Oryctolagus cuniculus: one gene and its partners. The protein of the gene in region 3 interacts with the protein of the main gene of each other region in a pairwise test. Links are inferred from orthologs where the notes say so. Each region holds a gene or a part of one and is shown on either strand. Other genes may lie near its edges.

The links.
Region 1: the proteins of EPM2A (region 3) and PPP1R3C interact in binary tests that used the Homo sapiens proteins (3 or more experiments, as listed by UniProt). The link is inferred for Oryctolagus cuniculus from reciprocal best matches to the Homo sapiens genes EPM2A and PPP1R3C.
Region 2: the proteins of EPM2A (region 3) and PPP1R3D interact in a two-hybrid assay, tested with the Homo sapiens proteins (2 studies listed by BioGRID, with this or other methods). The link is inferred for Oryctolagus cuniculus from reciprocal best matches to the Homo sapiens genes EPM2A and PPP1R3D.

What each region holds. Positions count from the first base shown.
Region 1 is NC_091446.1:38,806,609-38,810,983, reverse strand, and holds the start of PPP1R3C (protein phosphatase 1 regulatory subunit 3C), read right to left. Parts: upstream 2,837-4,375; 5' UTR 2,563-2,836; coding exon 2,183-2,562; intron 220-2,182; coding exon 1-219.
Region 2 is NC_091442.1:2,547,153-2,551,422, reverse strand, and holds the start of PPP1R3D (protein phosphatase 1 regulatory subunit 3D), read right to left. Parts: upstream 2,888-4,270; 5' UTR 2,457-2,887; coding exon 1,560-2,456; 3' UTR 1-1,559. UniProt on the Homo sapiens protein: Seems to act as a glycogen-targeting subunit for PP1. PP1 is essential for cell division, and participates in the regulation of glycogen metabolism, muscle contractility and protein synthesis.
Region 3 is NC_091436.1:22,737,553-22,741,152, reverse strand, and holds part of EPM2A (laforin), read right to left. Parts: intron 2,068-3,600; coding exon 1,826-2,067; intron 1-1,825. UniProt on the Homo sapiens protein: Plays an important role in preventing glycogen hyperphosphorylation and the formation of insoluble aggregates, via its activity as glycogen phosphatase, and by promoting the ubiquitination of proteins involved in glycogen metabolism via its interaction with the E3 ubiquitin ligase NHLRC1/malin.

The DNA of each region.
Region 1 (4,375 bases), on a different chromosome or scaffold from region 3:
TGTGAGCGCTTCCAGCCGTTCTGCGATTTGGCTTCCTGCTTTATGTTGAGACACGGTTTCAGAGGCTTCAGTTTATTCACAAAATGTCTTCGTTGAAAGTCATTGTAAGGACCCAGAAAACTCTTCAGAGGGGGCGAATGGGCCAAGCAAAGGCTCATGGCCACATCCACTGGCATGACGGAGCTTGTCAAAGGACGTGGATCTAAGACCTGGATCATTCTGGAATGTAAAAGGGAGAGGGGTCATCACCTGCACTGGGTCCTTACTTCATAAGTACTATTTTTGTGCAGACTGAATTCCAGCCATGTAGTAAGGATCAGGCAGGTGCTGTTCTATGGAGCAGGAGGCGGCAGTGTTAGGTGAGCCCACCTGCATCCTATGTCCACCTTCACTGTCGGCTGACTGCAGGGCTGCGGGTTAACTGCTTAACTTTTTAGGGGTGGGAGGGGTCTCTGTTTCTCCTTCTGCAAAACAGAAGTGTTGGAAACGTAATGATCTCTACACAACTTTAAGAACCAGGGCTCTGAGATGGTTCTCAACCCTGGCTAGTCACTGTGACCTTGAGAATCGGTTGGTTTTCTTTCTTCTTAATTTGAATACTTAGAACCCCTGTGGATGGAGCAAAGGAAGCAGGGATGCTCAGAAAGCCTTCCAGGTGGGTCTAACAATGAGAGAGGTTTGGAAGCCTCAGATCCAGTCCCTCCGCTGCCTTTGCTTATTTTGCTGCTCAATGATTTATGCTGCTTTGGAAAGGTAAGCCACTTGGAAAGAAAAAAGATTCATTAATAAAATTTGTATGCAGTGGTTTTGAGAGTGACAAGGCTAGGGAGAATGGAAGGCAGAAAGTTACCTTTGCACTTTGTCATGTTATTCCTCATGTTTCAGAAGTAACTGACTGAAACAAGTCAGCAGTTCAGGCACTTAAAGAAAAAATTTGCATAACCTGTATTTCCTATGGAAACATGCCCACGGCAAGTCCGCATTTAAGTGGGAAAACTAATGACCTGAAAATTGGGCTTTTTAAAAACTATATATTGTATTTGAACTTATAAATATTTTAAAACTTTATAGAAAACAAACTAAAAAGTTAGTAATTATCTCTAGGTGATAGGATTTCACAATTATTTTTGTCTTTGTACTTTTTTGGATATTTTCTAATGTTTTGGTGATGGACATTTATAAGCGGAAAGACATTAAAGCTATGAAAAATTTTTAACATAACTATGCTCAGCAATAAACCAAGAAGAATCCTTCAAGAAGGCTTTTCTGGTCTTTGGTTCACATTACATTTGGCCAAGGGCATGGGATTGAGAGTTCCCCCGTATTTCAGCCTTATGGATTCAGAGCTATGTGTATCCTGTGCACAATATTTCCAAGTCTGCCTTCATTGCTCATTAGAGCAACTCCAAGCACCAAGCAAGCGCTCATTCTCACAAAATGAATAATAAGGAGCACTCGCAGAACTCACTTTATCAGCGCTGGGATTTTTCTGGGTGACCTGCAGACTTAAACAAATGAAAGCTAAAGCTATCACTCTGGGTCTAATAATAATGAACAGGCTAGATTTTTAGAGAAGGCTTCTGCTAAGTTATGTCTGGGCAAGCTATTAAAAGTAGTTTATGGGAGCCTGGGTTTGTTTGTTGTCTTTTGCATTTATGGAAAGACAGTTTTAGTACTGGGCTATTTCCTTGGAATTTTCAGTCCTGGCCAAGAGTTAAAAATAATAGTTTGCTCCAACTCTGAGACCGAGTTTGCTATGGCGAACCGTGATAAGATTGTGAAAGCGTCCAGTAGTTTTGCACCAAACTAAACTATCTAACCAACAAGATGAGAGGTCTGTTCCCCCAAGCCCGGCTGCCCGCGTCCGAGGAACAGACTTGCAGGACCAAAAGAGAAGTCTTATCAGTGAGGCAGATGGAACTATAGCTGACTCAGGTTTAAACAGTTTCTGGTTAAGGATGCTGATTGCCAACATACGTTCTGCTTAAGACACACACTGCAAATTTCCGTACCTCCCAGGCCCCCTGAGTGCCGGATTCAATCTAGCAATCTGTCAACTTGCCCTCCTCTGGGGTCTCTATCTGCAGAAACGACAGAACGAAAACGCCCCCACCCCATTCCAGTCTGCATGCATCTGCACGTTTCGCCTGACTCGGGGGTTGCAGAGTCGCAGCCAACATACCTGGTGCAGCTCATGAGGCAGAGAGGCGGGGCTGACCGCGAAAGCCTGCACCCCGCTGCCTGCGCACTTTCGCCCTGCAGCTCCCAGCAGTGCCCCCTCGCAGGTCGCTCCCGCAGATTGCGGGTCAGGCGCCAGAGAGACAGCTTATCTGCTCGGAACCACGTGAACGGATCCCTTGGACCAATCGCCGGGCCGCGGGCCCGCTGGCGTGACCAACCAGCGCCCAGCTGCAGCTCGAGCCCTCTCCCCAAGGACGCGATAGCTGCGGGGCTGAATGTGCCCAGCGCCAGCTGGGAGCCCCGGGATTTGGGGACTCCTAGGCCAGCTGGACTGAGCGGCGTAACGCGAACCCTGGGCGAGGGGGTGTGCAGGCAAGTCATGCAAGGAGCCGGGAGGCGGCGCCCAGCTCACCAGCCAGCGCCTCGGGAATCCGTCTGCGGGTGTGTGCACGGCTGAATCTGAGCACAGCAAGTTGTGGCTGGCTCCCGACGTCTTCAACGTTTGCATTGTTCGTTGCTTGGTGTGCTAGCGCACCTTAGCCTCCGCGGGGAGAAGTTTGGCTGAGTGTGTGTGTGTGTGTGTGTGTTTCGCTTAGGGTGAATCCACGAATGCATCATAGTGGGTGCCAGGAACCACCCTCTCAACACGCAGATCCTATAAAACGATAAGACAGCATTTAATTAAAAGGCAATTTGTAAGTTGATCTATTCTTCAGTTTTCTCCCTGGGAGAAAAAACTATAGACAGAAATGAAATGGCCTTTTTCACTCACATGGCCAGCCAAAGCCAGTGGTGAACCCAACTCCCTGGACTGGGTTCTGACGTCCTTTAGCAGTGCTAAAATGTCACGCGAACATTCACGGCCCTCCCAGCACCAGTGCCTTTCTCTGGGCTTTCCTTATTTTGTGCTGGTTGGGGGCGGTTTTTGACCATTCGTCCCAACCTTGAAATTAAGTTTCTAAGTATAAACTGTCTTTATAAAACTTGTATCTAAGTTCTGCTCTACTTAAATATCCAGCAGTCAAAATGTACAAAAAAGATCACGCTGTCTTTTAAAGAACAGTCAGCAGTGGAACGGTTAAAGTGGAGTTACTAAAATGTGGAAGAAGAAATTGGGAAAGATGCTTCAGGTTTGGGCTTCATTTTTTAAATGTAACAACCAGTGAGGGGCAGGGATTCGAGCCTTTTAGCTCAGTCAAAACCAGCTGACAGGGCCCGGGCTTTGGGTGTGGCATTTCCTAGCTCCGTGGATCTGGTCACCGTGGTCTCGGTTTCCTCCGGTGGGAGACAGGGGCAGCAGAATGGTTCTGGACTGTGGGCCAGACCCTGCTCTGTCTACAGATGTCTCACAACAACCCCAGGTAGTGTGTCTCACTCCACTTTAGAGAAAAGAAGACTGAGGCACTGAGGAGGCACGAGACCTACCCAGGACCTCACAGGTGGAGCTGGCTGATGCCAGAGCGAGCCCCACTGCACCAGAATCTCTTCCACTAATTACCCTGGCCGGAAAAACCGTGCAGGGGGAAGGTGCCATAGGTCACATGGGTGGTAACGTTGTTATCAACCTATTTCACAGAGGAGGAACCTAAAACCTAGAGACGCTAAGCTGTTTGCCAGGGGTTGGTTAGGCCGGAGCCCAAACTGGAAGCCTGGGTAGTCCTTTCCTCTGCCCAAAATCATATCTTGAGCTAAAAGGTGAATGTTACCAGCTAATGTTATGGGGAAATGTAAAATTGTAAGAATTTTTTGTGATCTCATTTTGGGAGAGAGATGTGCATGCAGAGTAAATAAAATATGCTTCACTAAAATGTTATCCGTACTTTTATTGAGGTGGTGAACTTATGAGTAACTAAAAATGTCTTTGATGTTTAGCTTCTCTGTATTTTTAAAAATTCCTACAGTGAACATGGATGACTTCTCTAAGAAGTAATTTTTAAATGATTTTAAAATGTGCAACAAGTATAGTTCAACATGTATAGCCCTCCTGCCAGGCACAAGGACTGTGCTGGAAGCTCTCACATACCTCAGCCATTATTCACAACATCCTTTTGTACTTGTTTCCTTTCACTCCACTTTCTCTCCTGCCCCCTGGTGTTGATTAACGCCACAAAAGTCACTCTGTTTCAACTCCTTCAAACAGAAGATTGAGAGAAACAGCGCTCTCTGAAGAGGAGTCAGCTTCAATAAACCTGCG
Region 2 (4,270 bases), on a different chromosome or scaffold from region 3:
AAGCTACCAAAGTCATTCCTGTTACTGAATTTTATTTTTGATTGCAATCATCAAAAATAAAATGGTTCAAAGACAAAATGCATCTCTCAAATAGTCACTGGACAAATGCCAATAAGCGGTCACAAATTTAGCTAACTCACTGGTGGCAGGTATCTTAAAGTGGATCCCACGGTTTCAGATATTTCAAATCAATTCCATACACTGGAGACACGGTCCAACACGGCTGTGTTTCCCCCCATGCCCCAGCTCCAGCCCTGCTGTCCCAGAGACCACTCAGCACCAGAACTCCCCAGCCTCGCAATGGGAGCTTCCGTGGCACTCTGCAGGGGACAGGAGGCTTGACTGGCTGGTTGGAAGTTGTTTTTTTTTTAAAAAGTATTTGATATTTTAAAATTTGAAACAAGCCCAGAAAAGGTTAGGCAGGAAGTCTCCTACCTGAAGGCACAAAGAATAAAGTTGGCAGGTAGCTGATAAGACCCGGCATATAAATACAATTTAAAACCACTGAGGAATATAAAATTTGTGAATTATTTTTCCTCCAGTGCTCTGGCCATCGCTGAAAACAACCTTCTAGTCCCATTTGCTAACTGGACTTCCCAAAGATTAATGCCAGAACCTCCTGATGCTGAAGAAGAAATAAAAAGAACCAAGAAGGCAATTTCAAAGGGCACTGTTGCCTGAAAACAGTAGGTGACTACCTGAAAATCTAAATAACTTAAGGCAGTATTTCTTAGAATGTCTAGGTAGTTTCGAACCTAAACGGAATGGCCTGATGACGTGCAGATACACGATTCCTAAACACACAGGACAGAAACACATGACCTAAGAGTGGCCGCAGAAAGGGCTGTTGGGTGGTTCCAAAGTCCGCAGCCCCTTCCCCGGCCCAGCCGGCTGCCTCAGGCCCGGAGTGGTTACGTGACGCTGATGAGACACACATTCTTCGTGCCTATTAATAGATTCCCGCTTAGAAGGCTGCAGACACTGGCAAGCCGACAGGGTCTCGGGTTTTCCTTGTCCCTGGGCAGGGATGCCTGGAGCAACCAGGATGCAGGTCAGGGCGCACGGTTTGTTCACACTGGGCACGGACACATAACAGGACATCTGCATATTCCTGAGAAGGCATCCACTACGGAGAAAGGTCCCGACATCACGAAAATAAATAGCAGCCATGTTTACGGACACACATGCAGCAGGCCCTCCCGGCAGAATCCCGGCCCTTCAAAGGAAACCCTGCCTCTGGGCCCCAGGCTCCGGCACCCCAGCACCCCAGCTCGGACGCAGCCCAGCGCGGCCCTCCCGCCGCCTGGGGCTGCACCAGAGACCGGTGGAAGAGGGGCCTGGCAGCTCAGCGCGGCCCTCCCGCGGCCGGGGGCTGCACCAGAGACCAGGTGGAAGAGGGGCCTGGCAGCCCAGCGCGGCCCTCCCGCCGCCGGGGGCTCCACGCGAGACCAGTGGAAGAGGGGCCTGGCAGCCCAGCGCGGCCCTCCCGCCGCCGAGGGCTCCACGCGAGACCAGGTGGAAGAGGGGCCTGGCCGCTCTGGGGGCCGAGGCGCGCAGGCTCAGATGAAGTGGATCCAGCTCTCCTCGCACTCCCCGCGCGGCATGTGCAGTGCGTGGTTGCGACACGTGAGGCTGTAGTCCTGGCCGTCGTTGTTGTCCCAGTACTCGGCGCCGGCCACGCGGTAGCGCAGCGCGAACTGCACGAGCGAGCCGAGCTGCAGCAGGAAGGGCGGCACCGGGAAGCCGAAGGCGAAGACGTCCTCCGCGCCCTCGGCGCCCGCCGGCCCGCGCCACCGCGCCGCCGCCTCGTGCGCGCTGCGCCAGCCCGAGAAAGTGTAGCGCACGGCCACCTGCTTCTCGAAGGCCACGTTGCGCACGCGCACCGTGCCGCTGATGCCCAGGTCTGAGCAGGTGACGCGCTCCAGGCACACGAGCTGCCGCCGCAGGCGCTCGCCGAAGTCGGCCGCCTCGACGGGCGGCGGGAAGTCGGGCACCAGGCACCGCAGCGTGAACTCCAGGTCCTGGCTGCTGCAGCACAGGTCCGAGTTGATGGCGAGCCGCGACAGCACGTGCAGCGGCACCGACGGGTCGTCCCCGGCGTTGAACACCTTGACCTGCGCCAGCTCCAGCCCCAGCGCGTCGGCGAAGCGCACGCGGAGCTGCCGGCTGCAGCCGGGTCGACACGCCGCGCCGGGCGCGCCCGCGGCTTTCTGGCGGCGCTCCGGGGAGCTGGGCAAGGAGCGCGCCCGCCGCTGGATGATGGGCCGCAGCCGGGGGTCGCAGCCGGATGGCGCCGGCGCCAGCAGCGGCGCGTGGCCAGGGCTCCCCGGGGGCCGACAGGGCCGAGGCTCCGGGGCGGGGCCGTCCAGGTCCGAGAGGCAGCTGAGGCTTCGGGGGGCGGCCTTCCGGGACCCCGGCGCGGCGGGCAGGACCGCGGAGTGCAGGCCTCGGGACATGTCCTGGCGTGCAGGCGGCAGAGGGAAGAGAACCGAGGGGCGGCCTCGAGGGGCGGCGTCCACTCCCTGCGGGCCCCGCCGTGCCCAGAAGCGCTCCGGGTCCGCTGGATCAGCGACCTGGGGGGGACCCCGGGGTCTGCTCCGCCCTCCCTTCCTCCGCCACCTTGTTCCTGGAGCCGTCGCCCAGATCCTCCGCTTCTCGCAGGGACAAGAGCGGTGCCGCCAGCGGAGGCTCTCCGGGGTCCCGGGGGAGCGAGGGGGCGCGCCGCTGGGCTTCCCTGGGCCCCGCCCGGCCGCCGCCTCCCTCGCTCCGCAGCGACTTCCCGGCGCGCCTCCGCCCCGCCCCTCGTGACGCGGCCCGCGGGCCCCGCGCCGCCCGCGCCCGGGCCGGGCCGTGCCGCAGCGCGCCGCAGTCTGGCCTCCGCGCGGGCGCCGGAGGAAGGAAGCGCGCGGCCGCGTCACGTGTCCGCCGCGGTCGCGGCCCGGGGCCGATCGGTGTCCGTGTGCGTCGGCGGGGCAGTGCGCGCCCGGACCGCAGGTGGTGCGTGCGCCACGCGAGCTCCGGGCCCGGGGCTGACGGTGGGGGGAGGGCAGGCGCCTCGGCCGGCAGCTGGTTCCCGGGGTGGTTTGGGCGTCTGCGGACAGGTCCCTGGCGCCTGAACCGAGCAGCCACGCCCGCGGGAGGGCAGAGGCGTCCTGTCCGCTGCCAGGGGCTGGGCGGGGGCCGCCGCTCTGCGTGCCGGCAGCGGTGCGCAGAGGGAGGCGTGGAAACGGGGTCGATCGCCGGCGAGCAGCTCCGCGCCTGGGCCGGAATCTGGGGCTCTGAGCTCTGGGTGCGAGCCGGGAGCTCCAGGGGTGCGGGGAGTTCGCGTTCTGTATCCTGGGCCCCTGCGGGCGTCCGTGGCTCTCACCCAGGAAGCGTGCGTGCGCGCGGCGCAGACCCTGCGGCCTGGGCCAGGAAGTGAAAGCGAGCAGTGAGGGGCAGCAGGCCGAGCAGGACGCCCCTTTCACTGTCCAGGGAGAAAGCCAGATCCCTGGCGGGGGGCCGGGGAGATCCTTCCTGCCCCTGGAGCCTCAGGCCGCCCGCCCTGTGACTCATTTGGGAGGAATGATTTTACCACCCCCGCTGCAAGCTGATCCGAAAGCCTGACATGGCTAACGGTAGAGAAAACACAGGAGAGTTTCAGGAAGAATATTAAGATCTGCAGCCCCGCCTCTTTCCTGTTTTAGGCAGGCGGGGGTGCTACGGTGGACAGAAGTGTTCCGTTTTTAATAGGCCACTTGGAGTGAGAGAGGGCTGGCGTAGCCTGAGCCAGGGACGCCAAGTTTCAGGGCTGACGTCATAGACTATGCATGACTGTGTTGGTGGCCTATGGTAGATGAAGGGGTGAGGAGGGCTGGTAGAAAGGGGCCTCCCCCACCACGCCCCGCGCGGGGCCCTGATGTGCAAGCCTGGTGATTGTTTCTTGAGTGGCTGTGGGGCTGTGGAGCTGGGTTTCTCGCACACTATCTCCAAGGAGCGTGTATGTGGGTGCCTGGTCAGAGAGGAGGGGAGGCAGAGTATTCACAGCTCATAGGTGCAGTCTTGTCTCCAATAGCCCGGTGATACACAAGCAGAAGAGTAATATAAACTGTAATATGAAACAGCGTCCTTGCCCAGGAGCCCGCGATTTGGGGTGCTCACAGCCCCCGTGTTCCAGTGTGAGGCAAATGTCAAGAACCACCGTGAGTGGCTGGGCCACCTGCAGGCAGCACCTCACAGTGTCCCGTTGCTTCCAGCTGCGGTGCTGGGAACTCCTTTGCAAGCATAAGAG
Region 3 (3,600 bases):
TACTCAAGGTCATCCATTGTGGGAACCATTGCTCTCTGAGAGAGAAACCACCTTCCCTGAAATTCATGACTTTGTGTAACTTGAGTTGATCATGAACCTGAGTTCCTGAGACCCTGTGGGTCTCTGCATCTGCAACACCCTGCATCTGGCTGCCAGCTGGGAGATCTATGCCATGCCACTCCATACTCTGGTCTCCTGAATAGGTTACTTAACTGTTTATACCTCAGTCTTTCTCTGCAAAATGAAGATAACAACAATATATGTCTGGAGTCTTGTTAAGAGAATTAAATAAGTTAATGACTGTAAATTGCTGAGCAGAGTGTTTGATGCACACTGTGTGTTTGGGCAAAAGAGCTGATGTTAGACCTGCTTCCTGCTAGGCACTCCTGTCTTCCTTCTTTCCCCCAGACCAGCAGGTTGCACACTCCCTCAGCCAGTGCCATTTCCACAGCTCTCTGCTGCCCCCTGCTGATGAAGGATTGATACTATTGGTGTAACTTGCTTCTTTGCTTAGGTAGCTTTGTTTTTGTTTTTGTTTTTGTTTTTGATAAGCACCCTGTTCTAAAACAGGTGGAATTATGCACCATTCCTTTAAGATCTCACATCTCTGTGCCTTGGCCAGTGCTACTTCTTCCATCCCAAATGCCTCCCTCCTTCCACATACACCTGTCAAGGCTATGGCCACCTCAAATGCTCTAGCATGCATGTAGCATCTCTATGTTCCTCCCATGTACTGCACGTTAATCACTCCTTCCCTCTGCCAAAAGCATGTTAGTCATTCCTCTCACATTCGTTTTGGGCTTGTTTTACTGCATCCTACCAGTAGATCAAAACTATGCCTTCTTTGATTCTGCTTCCCTGGCAACACCCGCCACACTATATATCCCCTCTCACAAAGCCATGATAAGCAAGCACCTGTGCAGTAAATGAATTCTCACTCTCACCACCCTGCCTGGGCTGCAATATCCCATATTACCTCCCACTTCGATTAGTGTGCTCAGCTCCTAACTGGCCTCCCAGCTCCACCTCCAATCCATTTGCTACATGCAAAGTGCACTTTTAAAGAAAAAAAAAATGGACCTCAGCATTTCCCAACCTCCCAACCACTCTACTGCCTCTCCTTGCTCTAGAGTAAAGTCTAAAGCATTGATTGTGGGCCAAATCCTGCAAGATACTCTTCGCTTGCTCTTTCATCAGCAGCCACATTAGTCTTCTAGTTCCTGCAACACTTGGTGCTGTCTCCTGCTTAGGGATTCTTCTGTGTAGGCCTGGGGCACATTCTCCCACCTCATTCTTCCCCGGAGCTCCCTTAAGTCTTAGCTCAAATATCACTTCCCAAGAAAATCTTCCCTGACCTCTCCCTAAGTCCAATTGCTTGTTCATCCTCCCATAGCAATATCTACATATCTTCTAACAAAAAACCTCAACATAGCTTTAAATTTGTGTTTTTAGTCATTTGCCTAGCACTTGCAATATCTGTAGGACCATATACTCCACAAGGAGAACAAGTGCGCCTGTCTTTTTTACCCTCATGTTTCCAGCCAACAGCATAATGCCATGCAGATAACAGATACACAATAAATATGCTGAAGAATAAAAATCAAAGCCACATTAAACAGATGTTCAGTCAAACCATCAAAAGGCATGTGTAAAGTACACTAAATCTAAAGCCTTATACTTCTTTATATTTATTCCATGTCTGCCTTTCATGTTTCAGATCCTTAATTTAGATAGATGGATTCATCAATGCCAATCAAATGATAGGCAAACAGCAGAAGTTTCTCTGAAACACACCAGCAAGGGGCTAGAATGATTCAATCCTTACCTTCGGTGCTCATATCTGGTGTTGGCATCCAGATGTAGACCAAGCCCTCTTCCTTATACAGCTTAATCATGGTGTCTGGAGTCATGGGTTCTGAGTAGCGGTTACAGCCTGAGGAGTTCTGGACAATATCCCATTCAGTCTGGAAATTCATTATAGCTGTAACGCCCAATTCATGCTTCAGTTTGATGGTTACATGTTCCACTTGGCGAGGGCAGCTCCCCAGCCAGAGATTTGGTAGAATTCTAATGAGAACATATGGGGTTAACTATTATTATCATTCTAATTTGAGGTCTAAGGAGCTGCATAAAATATGTAGTGTTAAAATGCAATTAACCTTTAAATCTGGCTTAAGAAAAGCTGGATGTTTAAGAATATGAGAACTGATATTATTATTAAAAGAAAAAAGGGTACTGGTTTGCTGTTTTGGGGAAAATACATAATTCAATTAGCTAGAATGACAGGGGTATTAGCCAACCAAATCTAGCAATATGTTAAAATAAGTCCACCAAGTTGTGCTTCTTCCATGAATGCATTCATTACAAAGCCGATCGATATATTTCAGATACTAATAAATTATAGGTGAAAACTCCTATATTAATACATTCTGAAAAACATTGGCTAAATTCATCAGCCATTCCTATTTAAAATGCTATATAAAAATCACGAAGAGAATGAGGCATTTTAAATATGCTACAGACCAGAAAATCACAAACAATAAACTTCTTCTAAATAAAAATCAAAAATCAAGATTAAATTGGAATTGGAATCCCCTGGTATGCTTCCAACTCCACCACTTGGGGCAAGTCAGCCTGAGCATGTCCCAAATTATACATCTCTTCCCTCTCCCATTCCCACCACCATGTTCAACAGAGATCACATTTCAGTTAATTTTCAACACTTAAGAATAACTGTGCATCAATTTCAGATCTAAACCAGTCATATTAACAATTCAATCCCATCGAGGTGGCATGTACCAATGCCATCTCACTGTTCCAGGTGATCAGTTTCAGTTCACAGTTGGTCATGGTGAAGGGACTGGGAGTCAAAGGGAGCACATAGACAAGTCTAGTACCTGCTAACGCTAACTGATGGAGTAAATAAAGGGGAGAGTGATCCAACATGGGAAGTGAGAATCTCAGCAGACTCATAGAATGGCAGATGTCCTAAATAGCACTCTGGCCTCAGAATCAGCCCTAAAGGCATTCGGAGCTGGCTGAAAAGCTCATGAGAGTATTTCAGGCATGGAAAGCCAAGACACTCTGGCAAAAGATCTCTGCGAGTGAGATCCCAGTGGAAAGAACAGGCCATCAAAGAAGGAGGTACCTTTCTCTGAAGGGAGGAGAGAACCTCCACTTTGACTATGAGCTTGTCTAAACAAGATAAGAATCGGAGAACTCAGAGGGCTTCCATAGCCTTGGAAACTCATGACTGGAGCATAGGGAGATTACTGATGCCATAGACAGGAGTGTCAATTGGTAAAGTCAACAACAGGAGTCACTGTGCACTTACTCCTCATGTAGGATCCCTATCCTTAATGTGCTGTACATTGAGATTTAATGCTATAACGAGTACTCAAACAATATATTTCACTTTGTGTTTCTATGGGGGTGCAAACTGTTGAAATCCTTACTTAATGCATACTAAACTGATCCTCTGTAAAAAAAAAAAAAAAAAAAGAAAGAAAGAAATTATCAACTCCCAACTTGACTCTCACTGGGATTAAACATGACAATAGGTCTGCTCTGATTTCATCATCATTTTAAAAAATCATCTAT